Linked DNA regions of Kluyveromyces lactis. The protein of the gene in region 2 purifies or fractionates together with the protein of the main gene of each other region. This does not show direct contact. Links are inferred from orthologs where the notes say so. Each region holds a gene or a part of one and is shown on either strand. Other genes may lie near its edges. The genes, in order: RSA4, TIF6, PUF6, CIC1, NOC2, DRS1 and ERB1.

Evidence for each region.
Region 1: the proteins of TIF6 (region 2) and RSA4 purify together in Saccharomyces cerevisiae (affinity purification with mass spectrometry; 4 studies listed by BioGRID, with this or other methods). This does not show direct contact. The link is inferred for Kluyveromyces lactis from reciprocal best matches to the Saccharomyces cerevisiae genes TIF6 and RSA4.
Region 3: the proteins of TIF6 (region 2) and PUF6 purify together in Saccharomyces cerevisiae (affinity purification with mass spectrometry; 6 studies listed by BioGRID, with this or other methods). This does not show direct contact. The link is inferred for Kluyveromyces lactis from reciprocal best matches to the Saccharomyces cerevisiae genes TIF6 and PUF6.
Region 4: the proteins of TIF6 (region 2) and CIC1 purify together in Saccharomyces cerevisiae (affinity purification with mass spectrometry; 3 studies listed by BioGRID). This does not show direct contact. The link is inferred for Kluyveromyces lactis from reciprocal best matches to the Saccharomyces cerevisiae genes TIF6 and CIC1.
Region 5: the proteins of TIF6 (region 2) and NOC2 purify together in Saccharomyces cerevisiae (affinity purification with mass spectrometry; 4 studies listed by BioGRID, with this or other methods). This does not show direct contact. The link is inferred for Kluyveromyces lactis from reciprocal best matches to the Saccharomyces cerevisiae genes TIF6 and NOC2.
Region 6: the proteins of TIF6 (region 2) and DRS1 purify together in Saccharomyces cerevisiae (affinity purification with mass spectrometry, with the first as the bait; 4 studies listed by BioGRID). This does not show direct contact. The link is inferred for Kluyveromyces lactis from reciprocal best matches to the Saccharomyces cerevisiae genes TIF6 and DRS1.
Region 7: the proteins of TIF6 (region 2) and ERB1 purify together in Saccharomyces cerevisiae (affinity purification with mass spectrometry; 5 studies listed by BioGRID). This does not show direct contact. The link is inferred for Kluyveromyces lactis from reciprocal best matches to the Saccharomyces cerevisiae genes TIF6 and ERB1.

What each region holds. Positions count from the first base shown.
Region 1 is NC_006039.1:748,364-751,784, reverse strand, and holds RSA4 (Rsa4p), read right to left. Parts: upstream 2,049-3,421; coding exon 501-2,048; downstream 1-500. Other genes in the region: IMG2 (mitochondrial 54S ribosomal protein mL49), read right to left, coding at 1-214; mitogen-activated protein kinase kinase kinase SSK2, read right to left, coding at 2,576-3,421. UniProt on the Saccharomyces cerevisiae protein: Involved in ribosome biogenesis. Required for processing and efficient intra-nuclear transport of pre-60S ribosomal subunits.
Region 2 is NC_006040.1:175,407-177,971, reverse strand, and holds TIF6 (translation initiation factor 6), read left to right. Parts: upstream 1-1,327; coding exon 1,328-2,065; downstream 2,066-2,565. Other genes in the region: KLLA0_D02068g (uncharacterized protein), read right to left, coding at 1-708; SEC9 (Sec9p), read left to right, coding at 2,425-2,565. UniProt on the Saccharomyces cerevisiae protein: Binds to the 60S ribosomal subunit and prevents its association with the 40S ribosomal subunit to form the 80S initiation complex in the cytoplasm. Is also involved in ribosome biogenesis.
Region 3 is NC_006039.1:1,047,906-1,051,601, reverse strand, and holds PUF6 (pumilio-family RNA binding domain-containing protein), read right to left. Parts: upstream 2,490-3,696; coding exon 501-2,489; downstream 1-500. Other genes in the region: CORVET complex subunit VPS3, read right to left, coding at 1-290; myo-inositol transporter ITR1, read right to left, coding at 3,045-3,696. UniProt on the Saccharomyces cerevisiae protein: RNA-binding protein involved in post-transcriptional regulation. Component of the ASH1 mRNP which transports the ASH1 mRNA to the distal tip of the bud, where the ASH1 protein is translated and targeted to the daughter cell nucleus.
Region 4 is NC_006042.1:2,032,635-2,035,653, forward strand, and holds CIC1 (Cic1p), read right to left. Parts: upstream 1,632-3,019; coding exon 501-1,631; downstream 1-500. Other genes in the region: ELF1 (Elf1p), read left to right, coding at 2,534-3,019. UniProt on the Saccharomyces cerevisiae protein: An adapter protein that specifically links the 26S proteasome to its substrate CDC4 which is one of the substrate recognition subunits of the SCF E3 ubiquitin ligase complex. Required for turnover of cell cycle regulatory proteins CDC4 and GRR1.
Region 5 is NC_006042.1:102,265-106,159, forward strand, and holds NOC2 (mRNA-binding ribosome synthesis protein NOC2), read right to left. Parts: upstream 2,640-3,895; coding exon 501-2,639; downstream 1-500. Other genes in the region: MEI5 (Mei5p), read right to left, coding at 1-235; GEP3 (Gep3p), read left to right, coding at 2,905-3,895. UniProt on the Saccharomyces cerevisiae protein: Involved in the intranuclear transport of ribosomal precursors.
Region 6 is NC_006042.1:1,453,287-1,457,481, reverse strand, and holds DRS1 (putative ATP-dependent RNA helicase), read right to left. Parts: upstream 2,748-4,195; coding exon 501-2,747; downstream 1-500. Other genes in the region: LMO1 (Lmo1p), read left to right, coding at 1-395; SYS1 (Sys1p), read left to right, coding at 3,307-3,900; CYR1 (adenylate cyclase), read right to left, coding at 4,031-4,195. UniProt on the Saccharomyces cerevisiae protein: ATP-binding RNA helicase involved in ribosome assembly.
Region 7 is NC_006042.1:2,460,491-2,464,675, forward strand, and holds ERB1 (ribosome biogenesis protein ERB1), read left to right. Parts: upstream 1-1,385; coding exon 1,386-3,761; downstream 3,762-4,185. Other genes in the region: KLLA0_F26587g (L-methionine (R)-S-oxide reductase), read left to right, coding at 1-182; CSM3 (Csm3p), read right to left, coding at 3,888-4,185.

The DNA.
Region 1 (3,421 bases), on a different chromosome or scaffold from region 2:
GACTTTGACTGTCAAATAAAGCACTGAGTTCGGCACTTTCGGCATCAGATAATGGTCCCAATTTGTCCATTTCTGATTTAAGTTCATTTAAAAGCTCAATTTCTGAGTTTTCCTGTTGTTGTGGTTGCTGTGCTTGGGTTGATTGTAGTCTAGTACAAATCCGAAATGATCTTGGGCTCATAGCCGCAAAACTTCTTGTAACTCTTGTAAGCATTATTAACTAGCCGTTGTATTATTAGTAGGCTGTTGTGTGGTTATGCAGGTTTTCCCGGTGTACACCTTTCTTACTATATAGATAACTTATCGATTTCCTATGGTAAATGCCGGCTGAATCGTTCTTCATCTTTTCAACTATGCTTGAAGCTTTAATTTTTCAAAATTTTCAGCTTGTAAGAAGAAGGGACACCTGTGCACCTCATAATAAATGTAAAAGAAGCTATAACATACATAAGGCAGTCTATAATTTAATCATGCTAATTATTCAGATGCAGTGGATCCACTCAATGAGTCCATATCCTGACCATTTTATCTTTCCCACCGCTACATACACGTTTACCGTCTACAGACCAATCTACAGTGTAGACTTCATCTTGATGACCGGGTAGATCGACGGACAGTTTTCTAGTTTTGACATCCCAGACTTTTAAAGTGGTATCTTTGGAACAAGAAACGAGTAGTCTACAGTCGCTTGACCAAGCTACTTGGTAGACACTCGCTACATGTCCTCTAAAGGTGGATAGGAATTTACCATCCCTTCCATCCCATAATTTAATGGAGTTGTCAAAGGATGCAGAAACAATGTAACGGCCATCTGGCGAAAATGCAACGTGGTTGACGAGCTTTTGGTGGCCGGTCATTCTGGTAATAGGTTTAGTAGACTTCAAGGGGTTCCACAGATACATAGTAAAATCGTCACTGGCAGTTACCATCAGTTCTTCGAAGTCACCTTTTCTTTTAGCAACTTTTTCGTAATTTTTCAGAGCCTTCTGTTGGGCTTCTTCAGGTGAAGCAGGAGTTTCGCCCTTGTGATCGAACGCACCGAGTCTTAATGCATAATCTGTTGAAAGTGAAAGATGATTAACCCAATGGGCGTGTGATTTTAGGATATTGATACATTTACCGTTCAAATTCATGTCCCAGCATCTGATTGTTTTATCGTGAGAACCACTGTATAGAACATTTTTTCCACCCCACTTGACACAGGAAACAGAAGACGTATGGCCACATAAGGTTAAAAGGCAAACTCTTCTTGTTGTATCCCAGATTTTGATAGTTCCATCCTTGGATGCAGTTGCTAATCTCGGTTTGTCACCAGGTTTGACAAGATGGATTGGTTCCCAAGATAAGGAGGTAATCCATTTCGAGTGACCTCTTAAAGCATCACCATAAGGCTTACCTTTGCTTGATTCCCATAATCTAATTGTGTTGTCCATAGAACCTGTGGCGATTAATTCACCATCTGGAGACCAGGAACAACATAGGACCCAGTTGTGATGGCCTTGTAACGTGCACATACGCGTTTGAGTGTCACAATCCCAGATACATGCAGTATTGTCACCAGCACCGGTAACCATCCTGGAGCTTGTATTTGGAGCAAATGCAGAACACAAAATTGTCGAGCCATGACCAGCAATTGCAGAAGACGACCGAGTTACTGGTTTTACTTTGAAGATAGCTCTTGGGGTATACACTAGAGTCAAAAAATCTTCGGTAGTTTTCAAACCTGGTTTTAAAATGGATTGATATAGATTATCTCTAATATCTACCATTTCCTCATCTGCATCCTTCTTTTTGTTGCTAACTAAACAGCTAAACGTGTATGGAACAGGATCTGCCGAGTCTCCATTTAACTGATTCAACAATTCCTCCAGTTGCTGCTCCGAAATACCACCTGGAACCCTTAGAGAACCTCCAACAGTTTCACCACTGTCAAAAGCTTGGAATTTAATGAGAACATTTGGAAGGTCTTTGGGAATAAGGTCAACTCCACGTTCAGCTTGAGCTTCTCTTCTTTGCTTCTTTGAAGGCGGTGGGAGTAAGGTTGCCATGTTTCGTTTGGATTGCTTGGCCTAACAAATTCAGAGAATTATTTTGGGCTCGTTTAATTACCTAAAAACTTCTTTCGAGAAAAGACCTGTGATTATTGCTGGAATACTAATATCGTTCACCAGAACCTTCTCCTTTTTAGGGAAGTCGACTTGGTAGTTGAAGCTCATCTCATCTCATCTCATCGGCATCTCAAAAGATTTTCTTGAACTTAAGAATTTCTTTTAGTTCACCACTTCCGGGTAATATAAATCTTTATTATGTTGAAACTATGCTCTGAATACCTTATGGGGAGCATCAGGCACAAAAAATTCCTAGACTGCAATTTACTTACTGGCAAGCAACTCACAGATAACGGAAAGTGCATGTTACATTGATACTATACGGATCCGGCATTGTTTAAAAAAAAGTCAAACAAAAGTTCCTATTATTATTATATATACATACAATACTTATACAAAAAAAAAATCTATGGTTACAATTGTTACATATGATCGTCATGGGGAGGAAACTTTTATGTCTATCAGAACTAGTTATGAGTTTCATTATTAAAAGATTCTGCATTGCCACCAAATGCAATGTTACGTATTTGAGAAATCCAGGGATCAAGTAACAATTCCATTGCAGTTGCTCTTTTATTGGCATCTTGTATTAAGCATCTGCTTATGAACTTTCTACCCGCAGATGAAATTTCAGACTTGGTTGGGAATTGCGGAAGGTGACCAGCTGCAACATGATACATGATAGCCCATTCATTGTCTAAGTTAGCCCATGGACGTCTACCGGTCACCATTTCCAGTACAACACAACCTAAAGACCATATATCATCGGATCCGAATTTTCCGTGTCCTTGACCAGTCACCGTTTCTGGTGCCATATACATCGGTGTTCCGATCATATCTTTCCCGCCTGTAGATTTGTTATTGGCATCCAGTGATATCCTCTTTGATCCGTTCTTTGCAATGAGTTTTGCGGCACCAAAATCTACATATTTGATAACGCCATTACGATCCAATAAGATATTCTCCGGTTTGATATCTCTGTGCACAACTCCAGATTGGTGCAAACATGCCAATCCCTCAAGTAATTGTAGTGTGTAAACTTGAGTTACCATTTCATCTTCAATCCGGCCATGTTCGAGTAAACTGGCTAAGGAGGAACCCTCGCAGAATTCCATAAAGATATTAACCTTGTCTCTGTGAACTTCCACACCATAGTACTGAACAATATTCGGGTGATTTAAGATCTCCATGACGCGCATTTCTTCTTTGAGAGATGGGAAAATTTGCTTCATGGATTTAGCATCTTGGATTTTGATCTCTTTTACCGCTAAAATATCACCAGTATCTAGGTTAACAGCGGAATATACAGTACC
Region 2 (2,565 bases):
TCTCTGTACCCTGAGTAACCCTAAGAGTACATTAGAAAATACTTCACATTTTTCGTCCTTCTTCAAGGAGTTATCATAAAACTTATCGAGCTCTTTTTCTATCGGGACCACTTCTTCATTTAAAACATGGGAGTTTTTATACATGTTGATGGAATCCCGAATAAAGGGTAAAATATTCCTAGTGAACAACATATGGTTTTTTTCCTTTCTTGATATTGTAGTACTAGCAACGGTTGAGGTCTCTCTAACGTCATTTCTATTCCCATCGTATGATGATGATGAGAAATGGGACACGTAATCTGAATTTGTCACTGTAGCCCCAGACATACCGGGAATTTTGTTGCTTTCCGGATGGTAGTACAAAGGGTCTTTTAAACTTGTCGTTAATCTTAGATCAATTGCAGGTGGTGTCAGTTTAGGTAAGAGCATTGACTTTAATTTGGAAATCTCATGGTTCTTCTGTTCCAATTCCAATTGCAAATGGAAGTTTTCGTTCTTTATCTTACTGACAATTTCTGTTGGCATTTCATTTTCCGTATTAACCAAAACTTCTGCTCTGCGATCCAAACAGACATTTTCATTCAATTTATCAGGTTTGCTCGAGACTTTATGCCTTCTATTCAACTTCGATGGGGATATTGCCTTCAATGACATTGCTTCCAATCCAGACGTCAAACTGCGCTCCGTTGTACTATTACAATCAGTCATCTTGGAAAGAGAAAAATGATTCAGTGAAACTTGATTCTTATGAATTGCTTGCCACTGATCGAACAGCTTTAAAATGTTTTCGTAAATGTAACTTACTGCAGGTTAGATACATGCAACATGCTTTTGTGTCAATATATTTGTTGTGAATGTGTCGCTTTTTCAGCTTGAAGCTGTTTAAATGTCGGAAATTGACGACTTAGTGAAGATATTCGACGCAAGTGCGGGTAACAAATAAAACACGCTCAGGTGTACGGTATACCCTGCGTTGAATCGTCTGGTGATCAGAAGAAAGAATGTGAAATGGAGAGCTATTTCTCGTCTAAGCTTCGAACGGTTGTTGGATAACTCTCACTGATCAAATTTATACATCTATAAGGGTACGAGATACCCATATAGTACTGTATGTGTGTTCTTCTCCGGGTAACCTAATTTGTGTTTCGTTTCTTTAAAACACTGCAATATGGAAAATTTTAAAGATTTCACTGGATAATTTCTAAGCTCATCTCATCTCATCTTGCGGATGGTTGATTCGGCTTGAATTAGTACAGTTCTTCTGACTTATAAACACTAGTTCTGCTTGTTACGCCAGTATACCACTGCAGATAAATCAACTGAAATTATGGCGACTAGGACACAATTTGAGAATTCTAACGAAATTGGTGTGTTTTCGAAGCTAACTAACTCGTACTGTTTGGTGGCACTTGGTGGTTCGGAGAACTTTTATTCTGCGTTTGAAGCCGAATTAGGAGATGCTATTCCTATTGCTCATACCACTATTGCAGGTACGAGGATTGTTGGTCGTATGACTGCTGGTAACCGTAGAGGGTTATTGGTTCCAACTCAAACTACCGACCAAGAATTACAACATTTGAGAAACTGTTTGCCAGATGCTGTGAAGGTTCAAAGAGTTGAGGAGAGATTATCTGCGTTAGGTAATGTTATCTGTTGTAATGATTATGTTGCTTTGGTTCATCCAGACATCGACAGAGAAACTGAGGAGTTGATTGCCGATGTCTTAGGTGTTGAAGTTTTCCGTCAAACAATTTCGGGTAACGTTCTTGTTGGTTCATATTGTGCGTTGTCTAACCAAGGTGGTCTAGTGCATCCTCAGACTACAGTACAAGACCAAGAAGAACTTTCCTCTTTGTTGCAAGTCCCACTAGTTGCTGGTACTGTGAACCGTGGTTCGCAAGTCGTCGGTGCTGGTATGGTCGTGAACGACTATTTGGCAGTTACTGGTCTAGATACCACCGCTCCAGAATTAAGTGTGATCGAATCTATCTTCCGTCTACAAGACGCTCAACCAGAAGCTATCTCTGGTAACTTGCGTGATACTTTGATCGAAACTTACTCATAAAAGGAATTGATACAATCGCTCTCTTCTGTCATTTATATCGTTTTGGCCCCCATTATCGCCCCATTTTTTAATGTAATATTGGTGTATATCTCTGGATCTGTATAGTACAATTTTTATTTTGATTGCTCTTTGGCATTTGCATCAACCCCATACTGTTTATTTCCTTCTTTCTTTTGTATTTTGTGCATCGTGGTTCACTAAGTACTACTGGACCCAAAAGAAACCTTTAAATTTAAATGAAACAAAAGAATCGAAAAGTTGTAGTTCCTTTAACATCAATTTTTAGATAGGTAAAGACAAGGTAAAAGGGGAACATCGATCAAATAAGGTTAAAAGGTTGCTGTTACCGTAGTGAAACCATGGGTATTAAGAAGTTCTTCAAGATCAAGCCACCTCCAGAGGCTACCCCCGAAGAAAACCGTGAATATTTGAACGAGTTAGGAATTTCCACCAAGACTACACCATCAAATAGAAGAGAAAAGTTTGCCGCATATGGGAAG
Region 3 (3,696 bases), on a different chromosome or scaffold from region 2:
AACACTAAGGCTCTATCAATTTTCGGCAGTAGCGTTATGCCATCAATTCCTGTTGGTCTGTCTTCATTGAAGTTGACTTCCGAGATCAGTGTGAAATTTCCAACATCTAATTCATAATAGTGTAGTAACGCTCCTGAAGTCGAGCCCAGGTAGATGTGCTGACCATAATATTCGATACATGAGTACTCATATTCATGAGGCACATTCTCGATTAATGGTGAAACAGCATATAATCCATCGGTTACTTCAAAGGCAGTTGAAATGGGTTTCTCTTTAGTATCGTCATTCATAAGCCATCAATGCCACTGCTGTAATTAGTGAATTGAGGAATAAATGTTCTTAGCTGTATTATCTCTGGTTCGCAGATGATAGTCTCATTTAAGGAAGTGTGAATCTTAATAGTAGACTAGAACGTCCTTCGTCCACAATGATGAGAAGCTATATCATCTTTAATATACATATTTTAGAGCCAAACTATATAACGACTTGACTATACATACTCAATGCTTCATTAGCTTTAGAAGTAGTTGAGCACCCTTGTTTGAATCGTTCGTCTCTATTTTCTTGATCACTTTTTTCAAATCATGATCGAATTGTTCCCCTTCTTCAGTCCCATGTAAGGCTTCATACAATGCCACAATGGTAAAAGAACTGTTGGGTTTGTTGATCCAATCGAGTAGGTTGCTGGAATCAATGATGTCTTCATAAAATTTTTCAGCAAATGGAATACCAAGTCCCTGAACTTTTTCTAGAGGTTCTAGTTTTCTTGCTTTCACGTTGTATCTACCATTTTGAATGAGAGACTTTAGCAACCTTGCCGAAAATGGTTTGTTAATAGGGTGGTCTTCTTCTGAAATGTCACCTTTGAAATAAATGGCGACGGTGTCCACAAGCTCGGCAAACAACTTTTGATCAGACTCTGAAAGTTGTTCATAGACATCATCGTTAACGAGTAAATCTGCGACAAATTGAGAACCGATGTTTTCATCTAGAATGGTTTTGTAGTGTTCGTTTACGCCAGATAAAATCATTGGTGCGAACCTTTTTAATAATTCAAGTCTTCTTTGGTCAAATGGCTTCTTGGAAGTAGTTTCCGACATCTTAATGTATCTTTGTAGTTCATTCTTCATATTTGGACCGAAGTATTTACCATCTAATCCTAAAAGTAGGAATAAGAGCGGCCTCCTACCAAATTTATCAACAATCAATTCTGGAAGATGTTCCTTAATTGGTGGGGAAAATGCCTTGGAGACGAGAACAGTATCATCGACTGTCATTAATAAAGTTATGAAAACAACGGCACCGTGTTCATTTTGAATTAACTTGATTGCATGTTCTTTCAAGGTCTTTATCAACCCCTTTCTTTCTTTGGCATTTGCTTTAGCGATTAAAGTAGATGCAACTTCTGCACCTTCTGGGGTATGCACTAATTCCGCAAAGTTCTCTTCTAAAAGTTCGATGAACTCAGATGTTTCTTTATCGTTGGCGATTTTGACGTATTCCCTCATTGCTGCGTGTAAAATCTGGAAACCTGCCGAACCTTTTTCAACAGAAGCAGTGATGGTACCAATCAAGTTTCTAGCGATAATATTTCTCTTTTCTACGCTGGAAGCACAAACTTCTTCGAGCGTAAGTTCCTTATGAGATTCTCTGAATACGGCGTATTCTGAACCCCAAAATTCTCTGATCATTTGATTTCTTTGTTCTTGAGAGGCATAAAGAACAAACAAATCTTCGACCACATAGGCACCTTCACGGTGTCTCATTAGTTTTCTCAAATTACCATGTAGTTGATCGATTATGATTTGTCTAGATTTTCGGGAACCATAATGTAACAATTTAACCAACAAATATTTACCATATGATGATGTGGCCAAAACATAAATTTTATCTTTCAATGCCAACGTGATCTGTTCTCTGCGCTCTTTGGAAGAATATTTGACTAATGTCTGGACAATTCTGGATGCATCATGCTTCAATACTAAATCTTCAATACAATCATTCGAGAGTTCCCAGATCTCATTACATAGCTTTTCACGGACAGGCTTTGGAATTGGAGGGTTCTTGACACGTAATCTTTCCCATAAAGACTTGATCTGCTGGACTGTTTCACCAGATTTACGCTGAAGTTTTCTCTCCTTTAATGTTTTTCTTTGTTCGGCATGCTGGCTGACACCATTACTTTCTTTTTTGTCTGCATCATTTCCGGTTCCAGCATCTTCTTCATCTTCAGCATCTTCTTGATCCTCATCAGATTCATCCAGTTGATCAGATTCGTTGTCTAGCTCGTCTGAATCTGAATTTGAGCTAGCATCATCTAATTCATCATCTAGCTCATCTTCTGAAGATAAACCGTGGAGGACATCATCAGAATCTTCATCGCCAGAATCAACACTAATGTTTTTAGCTCTTTTTACAATTTTACCAGAATCCTTCGACTCCTTAGATTCCAATTGACGCTTGTTCAACTTTTTCGACGTGGCTGCCATATCTGTAGTGCTGTATTGTCCTACGAGAGAGAATAAGAATGTATATGTTGTTATTTAATGCTACCCATAGTGCAGTTACTACTGTATAAGCTCATCTCATCTCATCGCTTCTTTTTCAAGTTCAGAAAATTTTCATAATATGCTAAAAAGAAAGAACTCAAATAAACATTCGCCAGAATCTCTCTTTTTTTGATGGGGGGAATATACAGTTGGTACAGGATTTGGCTGATTAAACCGAATATGGCAGTTTATTACATGCTTCAAAGATTTAGCTCTATTTCTCGAAAGCTCTCTCTTCCGAGTTAGTTAATTATGAAATGAGTAAATGTCACCCTTTCAAACTAACGAGATTTTTATTGTAAATCACAAACAAGTTGAGTTTTACACATGACAATGATAATATTACAGTAGTAATTGTGGACAACTTTAGCAGCTATAGTTGTTAATTCTAAAAGATTTTATGGTTATCTATATACTCAACTTCATATGAAGTTCATTGAAAAACCAAGACAGTAGCTTCGGGTATGAGAATAAGAGGGAATGACTGCATTTACATTAACTTTCAAGTAGTTCATCGGAGGGTTTATCCTTTTGATAAGCTTCCATGTCCTTTTCTCTAAATCTCCTTTGCATTTCGCTATTTTGTTGCTTTCTCTTCTTGGCTAGTTGTTTGGAAGCTTTGATGTTGAATCCATCACTTAAAATAGTTTGTACTTCCTCCAATTCTAGACCAGATAGTTCTGGATAACAGAGATAACAGAAGACGGTAGATACTGCAGCTAGTGCAGCAAATAATGAAAATGTACCAGTCGGTGTTATGTTTTGTAACATTGTTAGGAAGGTAGATGCAATAATTAGGGAACCAGCCCAGTTAGTAGCTGTACAATAAGAAGTACCTACACCTCTAACGGATGTTGCAAATAATTCAGATTGCTGCCATGGTACAGTACCGATACCTAGAGCATAGAATGCTGCATATACCATGATGAATACGATAACGACTATACCCCAAGAACTGAATCCACCATTGGAAACTTCCGATTCACCAGCGCCAGTGAATTTTATATCTAGGAAATGGAAGGCGATAGCACACATAACCAAGGAAACCATCATACCAGGCAAGCCAATCAAAAGGATTGCTCTACGACCGACCTTATCAATCGCAAAGAAAGCGACTAAAGTGAATACGAAGTTAGTACCGGCAACG
Region 4 (3,019 bases), on a different chromosome or scaffold from region 2:
AACTACGAATAAGCACGAATAACAGAGGTGATGATGTGAAAGTTTGTGAAATCTGTGGTTTATATAATATTTGACATATGTTTAATATAGTAATTAAATCTTTTTGTGACACTTTTATTTTTCGTTTTTCCTTTTCCTTCACTGACTGCATGGACGCACCAGTCCACACAGAAAAACCAGCAAACCTAAATGTGGCACATCAGAAAAGTTGTTCGAGCGGCGATGGGTTTGCACCATCCAAACAATACTAGGAATAACGTTTTCCTGCTGGTTCGAAAACGCACTGAATTTAACTACTGTTATTCTTTTATGAATTGCAAAGTATCGATGCTATCTGGAAAATTTGAGTACAGATTAAATACATTTTGTAGGGAAAACTATCATTGTAGGAGCGGTGACAGCCGTTAAATCTATGCTAAATGGGTAAGTTTTAAGACGATATTTGTGAAGGATAGAAATTAAGAAAGAGGAATGAAAAAAAACGCGATACTCCTGTACCTCTAATTTTTTACGTTTTTATTCTTTGTCTTTTGTCTTTTAGCGCTGGATTTTTGTTCTTTCGTTTGCTCTTTCTTTTGTTCTTCTTGCTCTTCTTCTGCCTCGACCTCTTCCAAGTTTCTTTTGGCTTGCTTAATTTGCGTAGCAAACAAGGAGTCTAGTTCGTCTGGATTTGCAATTTCTAACAAAGATTTCTCAAATTGTGATAGTTGCAATTCGACACCATCAATTTCTATGACATTTTGAACGGAAGTCTTAGCATCATGTCTGGACCCAACCAATTTGTCTAATACTTCCAAATTAACGTATAATGGAAGGACTGGTGATTCGTTAGATTTGAGAAGAATGGTTCTGATATTGTACTTTTCGATGAACTGTTTAGCGACAGAAATGATATTTTCAGTCAATTGTTCTGGGGTGAACCATTCCAATGAACCTAGATGAACATTCATCGTGTTACCTCTTGGAAGTTTGACTGGGATTTTAGTATCATAAATTCTCTTGATGCTATTTACCAAAGTTGTCTTGTTAAACTTGTTATCCGATCTTGTGTTAATGGCAATTGGAGTGGTATTCAACTTACTGTATGCTTTACCACCTAATAGCTTGGGCAAAGCTGTCACTATCGAGTCATCAGCTAGAATGAAAGAAAAATCCTGTACAAATGCACGCCTCTTTTCAAAAGCCTTGTATTTTGTCTTCAAATCTTTACCAGATATGATGGCATCAATAGTAATATGTTCTGGAAGTAGATCGATCAAGTCTTCTGATGTCACTGAATTGATATCAGAATCTTTTAGAATCAAAAGAGTCTTGAAATCTTTAACCATGGTGGTGCTAGCTTCCTTCCATGGCTTGAAGATAGAATGAGGAACTGTAATTAGTTTTGGTTTGAAGTTTTTCAAAGAACCAGTAAAAGATTCAGTGTTGACTAGGATCAACTGTAGCTGAGCCTCCAATTCAGAATCATCAATTAACTGATTGTCATTTGATCCATTTTCCTTCAAATATTCTTGCAATTTAATAACAGCATTGTTAACTCTGTTAACTGGAATGACTTCTTCCTCTTTACTGCCCTTAGTAGCCTTGGTGGCTTTGGTCGAAACCTTGCTTTTCTTAGTTTTAGTTGCCATATTATCTAAACTTTGATATTGCTTATAATGTGCTTGTAGATATACTAGACTGGATGAGTGGAGTTATTTCCTCTATATTCTGGATTCTTTCCAAGCGTTTTTTAACTTACTTGATTCGCACTGTCTCAGAAAAAGATCAACAAATTGTTGGTTCACCTAGGTAAGCTTACTTCTCGAGTTCGTACTGGCAACTATGAAATATCCAGTATATATCTAATCAATCCTTTGAGCTGAGAAATAAGAATAGGTACTTAAATACTTTACATACCATTACTTTATTAATCGTGTTAGGTGTGCAACATACTTCGAGATGAGATGAGATGAGCTATGATGAGATGAGCTCTCTATTGTCAAAAATAAAAATTTTCTGTTTCGCAGGAGCTCCACTGTGTTCACGTAGTTAGTAAATATTGCTTTTTGAAAGCGAAGGCCGTAATATATGATTTGAAACTTTTCTTGAAATTTGATAACATTTGACACTTAAGAAATAAAGAGTAACCGAATCTGATATTGAATCTCGGTGCGTGTTTGTGCAAAAGTTACTAATGAGCAACGGGCTACGTTCAGTGAATGGGGTTACAATACAAAAGGGCTTAAACTGTGTATTTTAGGGTTTCTTTCTCTGGTTTATTTCGGAACAGTACTATTTTTGAGTTAGGTTTTTTCGGCTGTCAAACAGGACTCACGATCGATATAAAGGATACCTTAACAGAGAATACGCCGCACGAATCTGATTTATGAGTTATTAAGTTGCTATTATTATTATTATTATTATTATATCGTAAACATAGTCATCGTCCCCGTTCATTTATACTGCAAAAGGCATATTAGCATATATTAATCAAATCTAGCCGCAGGGGTAAGCATACGCTCTCACAAGACAAATAAGAAGAGCATTAGACATGGGTAAGAGAAAGAAGTCATCCAGAGGTCCAGCCAAGAAGATAGTACAGAGGTTAGATACGGCATTCAATTGTCTCTTCTGTAATCACGAACGCTCTGTGAGCGTAACAATGGACAAAAAGAATAACATTGGCTCGCTTCATTGTAAGATTTGTGGACAATCGTTCCAAACCCGCATTAATGGTCTATCACAACCGGTAGATGTATATAGTGACTGGTTTGATGCGGTTGAGGAAGTTAACGAAGGGAAACATAGCGAATCTGAAGATGAAAACAGTGACAGTGACTACGAGAGTGACTCTGATACTGAGCCTTCTTCAAACCGTAGAAAAGCTGTTGGAATAGATTCTGACGAAGAAGAAGAAGAAGAACAAGAAGAAGACGAAGATGCGGATTACGGAAGAAAAGGAGCGACCGAACGAAAAGACTCAGAACCAGAATCAGACTCAGACGATGACGGTAAAATATCTAACAAAAGAGGAAGA
Region 5 (3,895 bases), on a different chromosome or scaffold from region 2:
AAGTTTGCATTATTTTCACTGCCCTTTTCAAAGCAAACTCTTTCTTCGTAAGATCTCGTATTTGTCGATCAAGATCGTTCTCTAACCTCCGGATCTCCTTTAAAAGTAACACACTACCCGTAGATCTTTCTTCAGGGTTTCTGCAAGATAACTTGGGCAAGATATCACTAAATGAATCATTCTCTTGAACTAAGGTTGTTTCACTATCACCTTCAAAATTCATGACATTCGACATAACGCCTGTAATGAGTACTGGTATAAGAATTATTCCACTTGGTCAAGTTATGCCTACCGCAGATTGTACTCCCGAGCTTTGTATTCTGAATGTAATGTTGAGTATACATGTTTAAAATAATTTACATAATGTAATTTCTATTTTCATGAAATTTACCGCCGATGTCTTTGACAAGGAGGCAATCCAATATAAGATGGTCGAAGACATAGGATTACCAATGAATTTAAAATTGAAGAAAGTTTGAACTTATCATACAATCATTTGATTATTCATCTGCTTCAGATTCAGCATCATCCATTACTATGTCTTGGGCTCCGTCAGAAATATTTTCTTCTTCTTCATCATCGTCAGATTCCAAGGATTCTCTTAAGAGTCTGGCCTTTTCTTCCTTAACCTCATTTTGGATAGCAACCCAGGAACCAAGAGGAGTATCTTTCCACGATATTTCATTTAAGAATTTTTCTACTTCTGTTCTGTTGTTTGGTCCGAAGTCTACATCTGATCTCTTCTTTGTAATGAATTGAGCGTTTTGGTTGATTTTATCTACCACGTTTTGCAACATCTTGTTAAACTTTACATTCTCAGAATTCTTGATATAACGACGTAATGAGATAACGGCAAGCGTTGTTAATTCTGGGAATGAAACGCTTCTGGAGTATAGAACAAAGTACTCACCTAGCAAATCTACAAATTGCTCAGCTAGCCCGTCTTGGTATATTTTTGTCCCCAAGTATGCTTGTGTACACTTGATGTTATGATCAAAGTCAAATGCAGGTAACGTTGACTTTCTAGGTTTCTTTGTGAATGCAGTAGAGGAGAGAATCTCAGATAATAATGGGTAAACTGGAATGAAGATACCAGTGTTTTGAGATAATCTGATCAAGGATCTGATCAAATAAAATCTCAATGGGAAAAATTGTGCTGTTGGAATCAATCTAATGACACCAATGGTAACTTGGACTAGTGGGTAAATCAATTGTCTAAGAGGGGATTCGTGGCCGTTTTCCTTTTCTGGGTTACATTGGATGGATATAACACGAGACCAGAAGTCCAAAGAGTGACAGAACTGCCAGTTATATACAATCTTGTAAGCACTTGATGGGTCCACCTTTGAGGACCTCTTAGTTGTGGCATTGATACTGTTTCTCAAGTGAATGGCTAGTTGTCTGATATATTCGAAACCCGATTGATAACTTATAACGTCATCAATACCGAAAAGTTCAGCAGCAGAGTTCTTTTGGAAATTGATTAGAGGCATGTTTCTGATGTTAGTTTTACGACAACTTTTAATGAAAGTAGAATACGTGGACTTCAATACAACTTCTAATAAAGCTTTCTTATATTCACGAGAGGCATTGTTCAAAAACGCGAATGTGGCAATTTGAGTTTCAACGTCTCCAGTAGTGGACCAAACTTCGACGACTTGAGAAATTAATTCTTTTAGTAATCTTCTAAATGAAATAAAGTATGGTAATAGCTCATAGGTAGAATGCAAAATCATTGAAGCGACGTCTGTGTTTGTGATGTCACTTAGGAGAACGATAAGAGATGGAACGTGCGATTTCAAAACAGAGGACAATTTTGTAACATTTTTATTTGATGGGAGAGTTCTGGTTTCATTCTTACTGACCCTATAAGGTGTCAATTTTTGGACGGCTTTTGGCATATCCACAAGGGCAACGAACATTAACTCGTGGAAGGCTTTTTCATCAAGAACTGTGAACTTGTAATCGTCTACATTTTCCTCGTTGTTCATGTTCACAGCAGCTTTAAAAGCTGAAACCACACTTCTGATAGTTTTGAAAGATGGGCTATTTTTTAAATCCTTCTTCCATTTATTTACGAGCTTTATGTCGACGGCAATTTTGCTATCTTTTTCCTCCTTCTTGGACTTTGATAAATCAGGTTCTTTCAGTTCTTCTTCTTCACCCACTTGCCCTTCTTCGTCATCTGATATTTCATCTAGAGGATTGGTAGATTTGAAAGACAAAAGATCTGGTTCGTTCTCTGCCAAATATTTGTAGAAATCAGGATCCTTCTTTGCCAAATCTTCCATATCCATTTTAACATCTTCATCTTCTTCGGCAGAAGACTCTGAATCATTATCTTTCACCTTTGATGCTTTTTCGGTTTCTTTAGCCATTTTCTTTGACATTTTTGGAATATCGAACCCATTGTCGAAGAACTCTTCAACCTTCATGTCGTTGAAGACTTCTTCCTTAGCGGACTTCTTCAACTTTTGATCTTCTTTGGTCAACGCAGCTGCATTCTTTTCTTCTTCTGTCTTATTACCCCTACGACCGGCGGTTCTCTTAGAATGATCTTTTAACTTCTTTCTATGGTCCAACGTATGCTTCAAGTGTTTCGTCTGAAACTTTTTAGTAGCTTTTGAAACTTTACCCATTGTGTAATTCTTGATCCCTTTATCAATAGGTAACAGGTCCCAAGATTATGCCTTTGATCAACAATATGATTTCAAGAAGATTATCTAGAGCGACTACTGGTTAAGTTGTTAGAGCTGCGTTAAAGTTTCTCTATATCTCTTCTTGGGGCATCTCATCTCATCTCATCTCATCTCATCTCATCGGATTGAATTTTGGTTTGGATATTTGGAAAACTTTTCATGGCGTTTCTTTTTGTATCCGGGTAATGGCATCGCCTTGACATCGATGAATAGTGCAAGTAATATGGTAATTGACATGCTTGGAAAGGTATCGACAAAAGATGCAACAAACTGCAAACAGAATGTCGAGAGATGCAACAGTTTTGAGCCGTTATTGATAAGAGTACTGAGGTATATGCATCAGAAAATAGTAGTAGTATTACCTTTTATGAAATCACGGCTCCAAGCTTTTAAGCAGTTTACTCGGTTTGTATCATGCAAAAGCTGTGGTGTTGAGTTGCAATCCAAGAATCCTTCTGTGACAGGCTACTATAAGCCTCCTCGCGCTGTCAGGAAAGATGCTGGCACCATTGAAGATTTGAAGTATTTAATGTTCACACAAGAACTTCAGCTAAAAAAACATGAAATCGGGCTACTTGATCCAGACACCGATCCAGATTATAAAGAACCTATTCCCAAAAGATTGGTTTGTAAAAGATGTGTCGATGCTATAAGTCATAACAGGTACAACTCATCTGATTTTCCAATTCATTCTTTCAACGATATAAAGGGCGCTTTGCCGCATGCTGCAAACGTATACCACGTTGTGTCTTTGTCTGACTTTCCCTTGTCATTAGACAAAACTATCCTGGCAGAAAAGAATAATAGAAACTATTTACTACTTTCAAAGGCTGATCAGATCACATACAAGTCATCAATGCTACCACATAAAGGGAGTGCTTTTTTTGCGGAATTTTGTAGACGTCATATAGGCGTACATGTTAAGAAAGTAGTATTGTTCTCTAACCCAAGAAATTGGAATATTCCATCAGTGATAAATGCTTTGGCTAAAAGATGCTATTTATTGGGTAATCCTAACGTTGGGAAAACGTCTCTCATTAATTCTTTGCTCCATGAAAAATCAACAAGTTTCCAAGCTCAACTTGATAAGAGAGGCAACGTTATTGGTCCTCCAAAAGGCCACGAACAAATACAAAGTACTCGCCGTAGGGCCATCTTCAATGAAGGTGGAGTATCACATATTCCCAACTTTACCA
Region 6 (4,195 bases), on a different chromosome or scaffold from region 2:
ACATTCAAAGTAGGCAAATTGAACTCGATAGAAAGCTTCCTGAAGGTGTTAGATTGATTAATATTCTTCAGAACACAATTTATAGAGAAGTTACCACCTTTGACAGAAACGGGAAAATTTTATCTGCATTTTACTTGGAGAGTACAGAGAGCTTCTACACCTGGTTGGATGGTTTACAATTATTATCACAAAGTAAACACGCCAAATTATCACCAGAAACTGAGAAACAAATCGATACATTAATAAAATTAAGAAGGAACGTCCAACTTGCTGCTCTTGATGATAAATTTAGAGATGATGAGTCACTGGAATCCTTCTCAGAGGAGGAAACGGATGACTTTTATTACAATCCAGAAACTCTAAAGCAACTCTCGATGGGTATATATTACGAATGAGAGTTGATGATTATGTAATAACACCTCAACTGCGTTTATGTAGTATATAATGAATTTTCATGCGCATTGATAATTAAGCCAAAACTAAGAACATAGGACAGTAATTTATTTCTTACCCTTCTTTCCCTTCTTTCCGTAGGCAGCTTGCTTCTTGCTGTATTGACGTTCCTGATATTCGACACGATCTTTTTGTGTCTTTTTATATAGCCGAGGATTCTCAGCCAATGCTTCTTGCTGTTTTCTCTTCTTACTGTTGATTGGCTTTTTGTTTTTTGCCAAAACTTGAAGCATTTTAGAGTTCTTCTTCTCAGCTTCTGATTGAAACCAGGTTCTTCTTGGCCTTGCACTGATTTCTTCCTTGTGTTTTAGCATGTTTTCACCTTTGCGAAGTTCCATTTCAGCTCTAAGTATCTCTTTCTCTTGCTTTTCTTCTTCAATAATCTCCTCTACAACATCACCCTTTGCTCCAATCAAGCTGTTGACTTGCTCGACTTGTGTCCAGTCAACGTTTCTACTCAAGGCCTTTCCACTTTCAGCGTTTTCTTCCACTGATCTGATCGCACTTCTGACAATACTTCTATCTTGAGATGATTCGCCTACAAAGGTTACTGAACGACCTTCTCTACCCGCTCTGGCAGTACGACCAACTCTGTGTAAGTAAATTTCGTAAGTTTTTGGCATATCGAAATTGATAACCACTTCAATTTTTGGAATATCTAAACCTCTCGAAGCTAAATCGGTACAGATTAAGACTGGTACTTGTAAGGATTTGAAGTTATTAACAGACTGTAGACGTTGTTCTTGGGTTAACGAACCATGCAATTCACCAACTTGCATACCCAATAACCCAAGGACGATTCTCAGTTTATGGGCAGTTTCTTTCCTAGCAACAAAAACTACTATTCTCTTCTGGCTTGTATTGTCCAACTTTCTAATCAATTGATATAATAATGCCGGTTTGAGATGATCTCTTTTACGTATACGGATGAACTCCTGTGTCAATTTATCTGCTGCTTGTTTTGGAGGATCAATCATAATCCTAACAGGCTTCTTTAGAGATAGCGAGATTAATTGCTTAATTTTTGAGTTCATTGTAGCAGAAAACAACAGAGTTTGTCTCTTACTTGGAATGAGAGACATGATTTCTTGTAGTTCCTCTTGGAAACCTTCTTCTAACATTCTATCAGCTTCGTCAATGACCAAGATTTCAACTGAATCAACGCTGAAACTCGCAGAATTTCTTAAATGATCGATAAATCTACCTGGTGTGGCAATTACGATATCAGGTCTGGTCTTCAATGCTTGTTCTTGTTGTCTTAAATTCAAACCACCGACGGCCAAACCAAACGTTAGTCCGTTAACAAACTTACCGATATTTTTACCAACATCAGCCACTTGAATAGCCAATTCACGGGTTGGAGTTAGTACAACAACCCTTGTTGATGCAATATGTGCAGGTTTGTACAACAAACGTTCGATGATAGGAATCATAAAAGCAGCTGTTTTACCAGAACCTGTAACAGCACCGGCAATGATATCTTTACCAAGAAGGGCAATAGGAATAGCAGCACTTTGAATTGGAGAAGGACTGGTGTATCCTAAACTTCCAAGCCCTTTCAACACAGGACGGGATAACGACAAGCTGTTGAAAGTTTTATGAACGATCTTTTTAGCATCCGCACTTTCCTCTTCTGGAGCATAAAATTCAGCCATTTCTTCTTTAGTGTCTTCTTCAATGTCTTCATCTTCGTCTTTTCCCTTACCTAAATCTGCCTGACTCATTTCGGTCTTTTTGTCGTCATCTTCGTCGTCATCCTCTTCTTCTTCATCCTCTTCATCTTCTTCATTTTCCTCTGTTGCCTTTCTCTTGACACCCATACCGAACCCATCCAAAGCTAATTCATCTTCATCATCACTCTCGCCAGGTTCGTCTCCTTCTTCTGGTTCTTCTTCGGACTCTTCTGATAGGCTTTCTTCGGCATCACTGCCTGTAGCAGCCATCATAATCAAACCACCTTTTCTTCTAATGATCCCATCTAGATCGACATCTTTTTTCTCAACTTCATCACTCTTCTCATCACCTTGGAAATCCCAGCCTGCAAAGTTGGTGGTAACTTCTCCGCTGTCAATGGAGAATTGGAATTCTGGATTCAAATCTTCATGGACATCTTCGTCCAAGTGAGATCCCTGTTGTTGCTTGGCCTTCTTTTTAGATTTGTTCTTAGTTTTTGAGGACTTCACTGGCTTCTTTTCCATTTCGTCATCAGAAGCATCTAAATCTGGAACATCTTCTTCGCTATCACTAATTGTAGGAACAAAATCATCGAATGATCTAAACTTCTTAACAGCCATATTAACGAATGCCGTATATCTCTTTATTTTCCACTTACCTTAATACTCAATCAAAGAACAACAAGAATTCTATTCTTTCTCGCAAAGTAGAAATGAGTGAAGAATAATAGCACTAGATAAATAGTATGTCACCTGTAGAAGTTATAATAAGGAACAATGAACAGTACTCACTGCTAAGTTATTCTAGTTGTCGTAGCTCATCTCAAGCTCATCTCATCGCCATTCCAGATGTGAAAAGCTTGAACATGGAAAATTTCTTTTGAGGAAAAACATATCGTCAAGTTAGGGTAACCACTGGTTGTCAACATGGAAACTAGTTCGGAATCTCTAAGCAACATATTAAATCCAAGATGAGTTGTGATTGAGACATGATTTGAGAGACTTGAAAATAAAGACAGAATTGAGTAGTTAGTCCTCTTTCGTTACTTATTGCATTCCTCCTATAATATTCGGTGAATTCTTTTGGTTGTTCGCACCAGTTATATTTGATAGAATTGAACTGTACCAAGTGCAGTTTTAGAAAGGCGACCGATTAGAGACATTTCAACCAATCAGGGAGATGGCTTCGCTTAGACGATACATGCGTGTTCCGAGAGAACTATTACCCACTGAAATCTTCAAACAAGAGTCTCAGTCCCCTGGTAAAATAATCGTTCAGATTATACTCTTGCAAATGTTCTATTATCTCACTGCATCAACTTTGTTTTATTGCTGGGCGAAAATATGTGGGTACGAAATAAAGCTAAAGCAATGGTTGTTTACATGGCAGGACATTGATTTCTCAAACTCTTTTGGTATTTCTTTATCAGCCCTTTGGTTAATTGATTCCTTGATTTGTGTCTTTTTTTTGACCATCATAGTGGGAAGGAGTAAACTCGCGTGGGATTTTGCCATTACAATCCATGCTATAAATCTAGTAGTAGTATGGACACACACAGGGCTATTCCCTTCACTAGCATGGTTTATCTTGCAATTTTTGTCTACACTGATATTGATTTTCCTTGGGACTTGGATTACCAGGTGGAGAGAGTTGAAAGACACATTTTTCGAAGGTATGGTGGATGACGATTCTGCACCTGCCAGTGCCAGCCAGCCAGCTTCTCAAGTTCCAGGGAAAAGCATCGAACTTAGAGATCTAGAAGCACAAAAATAAAAAGTTTTGCATGTTTATATACTTATGTAATGGAAATGTGTTATATTATTCTTGATGAAATCACGACAATTAATCAAAGGGTCCGAAACCATGAGACATTTTCGACGTAACAATAAAGAAATCAAGTCCTCTACTCCTCCGGAAAAGATTTGAAGCTTTGTTGCTCGCTCTCGTCATTATGGCTGTTTTCTATGTATAATTGGTTTCTGGCTAGAAGGTCATCCAGCAATTGGAAGATTGATTTCTGTTTCATTGCATCACCAGATTTGTATATGGTTAAACCACCCTGGACCTG
Region 7 (4,185 bases), on a different chromosome or scaffold from region 2:
TCCCAGGGCATATAGCATGTGATGGGGAGACAAAGAGTGAAATTGTGGTTCCTATAGTCCAAAATGGCGAAACAGTAGGTGTTATCGATATTGACTGTTTGGACTACAACGGGTTTACTAAGCTTGACCAAGAATTTCTAGAAAAATTGGCCGCTTCAGTTTCAAAGACATGCGTATTCTAACTCATTAAGTAGTTACACTCGTTAATTATATTCTCTCAATTGATATCACAACTCTTGACCGTATATGAAGTTGCCTGTTATTGCATACCTAACATAGGGCATGCTGCCCCAGGTCCAGTGGAACAGAAGTTTTCTAGTTTTCAATGAAAAAAATGATTTCGCCCAGGATCGAACTGGGGACGTTCTGCGTGTTAAGCAGATGCCATAACCGACTAGACCACGAAACCATCTTGTGAGGTCTGTCGTAATATAGACTGAAGACAAGCCAGACGAGAGGTCATGTGAGCTAGCCAGCACACGGCAGAGTTCCAAGACGTCAGTGACTGGGCATATGGATCCTGTGGTATCCAGAAGGGATGGCCTAGATGGATCATAGACGGTCACGTGATGGTCTTGAGTGCGCGTGGAGGACGGTAGCTGCAGAGGACCTACAAGGGCATGGAGGCAATGAGTTGCCATGACGAAGTCTGACGACCATCCGAGTATATAAGTCGAGTATAAAAGGCTGAGCTATGTTGCGACCTCTTGGGGAGGTTGGACGCATATACTCAACGATCTAACTAAATAGATTATTATATTATATTCGTTATATTGTTTGATATCAACGATCCCTCATCAGGCGATTAATCAATCAACTATCATCCAAGGCATATCACAACAAGATCTGAGAGAACTACATGAGTATATGTTACATCGTTAAGAGTTTCTGAAGAAACGAAATAGGTCTCTCTTATCAGCGCCCCAAATTGGAATAATGAAGTTTACTGGAAATAGCTTCTTCAATGATGAAATTACAAACTTGAAAACGATGTTGCATCTACTAGAATAAAACTAAGATAACTGTCTATGATGCAAAAAAAATAAGAGTTAAGAATTACATTCATTGTAGGCTAGCGACCAAAGTAAATATCTTCAACGTAAGTAGAAGTATATGTGGAGTTGATTGAATACCAGTTCCCTATCTTTGCTGAAGGGTACTTTGACTTTTTCAAAATAGCATTCTTGTTCAAAACTTTGTAGAAGTAATTAATGTATCGTAATTTTCTTTCTTTTTGTTTCTTAAAATTTTCAATTTTCATCTTGAGAGATGAGATGAGATGAGCTGAAGTGAATAGACCACAGAGATAACCAGTACTTCTCAAAGTTAACGGCATCAGAAGAAGCTCTGAAAGTATAGAGAGCCAGAAAACAATACCAGAAACTATGGCCAGAAAGAATTCTTCTTTGAATGGTTCTGAATCAGCGGAGCTTGTTGTAAAAAAGAGAGTTCTCGAGGAATCTGAATTGTCCGATTCTGAAGATGAAAGAATTGAAGTTGATGGTTTAATCGATGAAGAGGCTAGCGAAAATGAAGCTGAGGAAGCTGAAGATGACGACTCTGATGCTGAATTCAATCGCTTATTAGCTGAAGAAGAAAATGGACAGGAGGAGGAGTATAATACTTCAGATTTTTCTGAAGAAGGCGATGCTTTTTCCATTACCGACAAATTGTCAAATGTAAAGTTAACAGTGATTCCAGAAACAAGCGATGAAGGCATTGTTCGTACCAAGTATTCAGATGGAAGACCAAGAATTCTTAAGTCAGAAATTAATCCTGTTTATGATAGTGATGATAGTGATGCAGAAGCTAAGAACACAATTGGTAACATCCCACTATCTGCATATGATGAAATGCCACATATTGGTTATGACATTAATGGTAAGAGAATAATGAGACCAGCCAAAGGATCTGCTTTAGATCAATTATTGGAATCTATAGAATTGCCAGAGGGTTGGACAGGTTTACTAGACAAAGACAGCGGTGCCTCTTTGAATTTGACCGAAGAAGAACTTGAATTAATCAATAAGTTGCAAAATAATCAACAGACGGACGAATCTGTGAATCCATACGAACCTTTAATCGACTGGTTCACTAGACACGAATCTGTAATGCCAGTTACGGCCGTCCCAGAACCGAAAAGACGTTTCGTTCCGTCAAAGCACGAAGCCAAGCGTGTGATGAAAATAGTCAAAGCAATCAGAGAAGGTAGAATTATCCCACCAAAGAAACTAAAGGAATTAAGAGAAAAAGAAGAACAAGACAGTCATAACTACGATCTCTGGGGAGATGCCGAAGAAATCTCTGAACATGTTATGAACTTGAGAGCCCCAAAATTGCCACCACCAACAAATGAGGAGTCTTACAACCCTCCGGAAGAGTATCTTTTGACCCCAGAGGAAATTGATGCATGGGAAAAGATGGAACCAAGTGAAAGAGAGAGAAATTTTGTGCCTCACAAATTCGCTGCATTAAGAAAAGTTCCAGGTTACTCTGAATCTGTCAGAGAAAGGTTTGAAAGATCATTAGATTTGTATTTAGCGCCTCGTGTTCGCAAAAATAAGTTGAACATTGATCCTGAATCTTTGATCCCAGAATTGCCCTCTACAAAAGATTTGAGACCATTTCCAATCCGTTGCTCTACCGTTTATGTCGGTCATAAAGGAAAAATTCGTACAATGTCCATTGATCCAACTGGATTATGGTTGGCTACTGGTTCCGATGATGGCACTGTCAGAGTATGGGAAATTCTTACAGGTAGAGAAGTTTACCAAGTCACAATACTTAATGCGGAAGAAAACAATGATGACCACATAGACGTTGTTGAATGGAATCCCGACAGTACTACCGGTATCCTTGCGGTTACTGCTGGCGAAAACATCTTCTTGCTTGTTCCACCAATTTTCGGCTTTGAAATTGAAAACACAGGTAAATCAAAGATTGAATACGGTTTTGGTTTCGATACTTTCGGAAACGTCAAAAAGAGTAATCTCAATGTGAATAGCGATGATGAGGATGACGGTGCTGAATCACATGCTGTCAAGAAACAGGTTGCTCAATGGAATAAACCAACCGAAAGGCAAGCTGCCAATGATATTTGTATCGTAATAACTTGTCGTAAATCAGTGAAAAAGCTTTCATGGCATAGAAAAGGTGATTACTTTGTCACTGTTCAACCAGACTCAGGTAATACATCAGTTTTGATTCATCAATTATCCAAGCATTTAACTCAATCGCCATTCAAAAAATCTAAGGGTATCATTATGGATGCAAAATTCCATCCATTCAAGCCACAGCTCTTGGTCTGTTCTCAAAGATACGTCAGAATTTATGACCTATCGCAACAAGTGCTAATCAAGAAACTTCTACCTGGTGCTCGTTGGTTATCTACTATTGATATTCACCCAAGAGGTGATAACTTAATTGCATCCTCGTTTGACAAGAGAGTGTTGTGGCATGATCTTGACCTTGCAAGCACTCCATATAAGACCTTGAGATACCATGAGAAGGCTGTAAGAAGCGTAAGTTTCCACAAGAAACTACCACTGTTTTGCTCAGCTGCGGATGATGGTAACATCCATGTTTTCCATGCCACGGTCTATGACGATTTAATGAAGAACCCTATGATCGTCCCGTTGAAGAAACTAACCGGCCACAAGATTGTGAATAGTTTAGGTGTTCTAGATACTATATGGCATCCACGTGAAGCTTGGCTATTCTCTGCAGGTGCCGACAAAACCGCTCGTTTGTGGACTACCTGATAGAACCCTCATGACGGGATATTTGTAAAACACTGTATACTATGGACATCATTACCTATCAATATTACAAGTAGATACTTTCTAATTAGTGTTCAAGGGAATACATTATTATCTTTGGATCAGAGCTCAAAAGGTATCCATGTCTCTCATCATTGCCATTTCCTCATCTGATGCGATATCATTACCGTTATTTGTTGTGCTGGCAACGGTCGTAATTTTACTCAATTCGTCTAACTCTTCAGCGTTAGGCAGAGCGTAGCCATTTTGTGTATGTTGCCGTATGTTTGTATCAGTGGTGGACAACATTTCATTCGTGTGCCGCTGGTGATGCGAAGAATATAGAACATCATCATCATCATCATCATCATCATCATCGTCATAGTTGCCGTCATTATTCTGATTTTTGTCTTTGTCTAGGCTGATA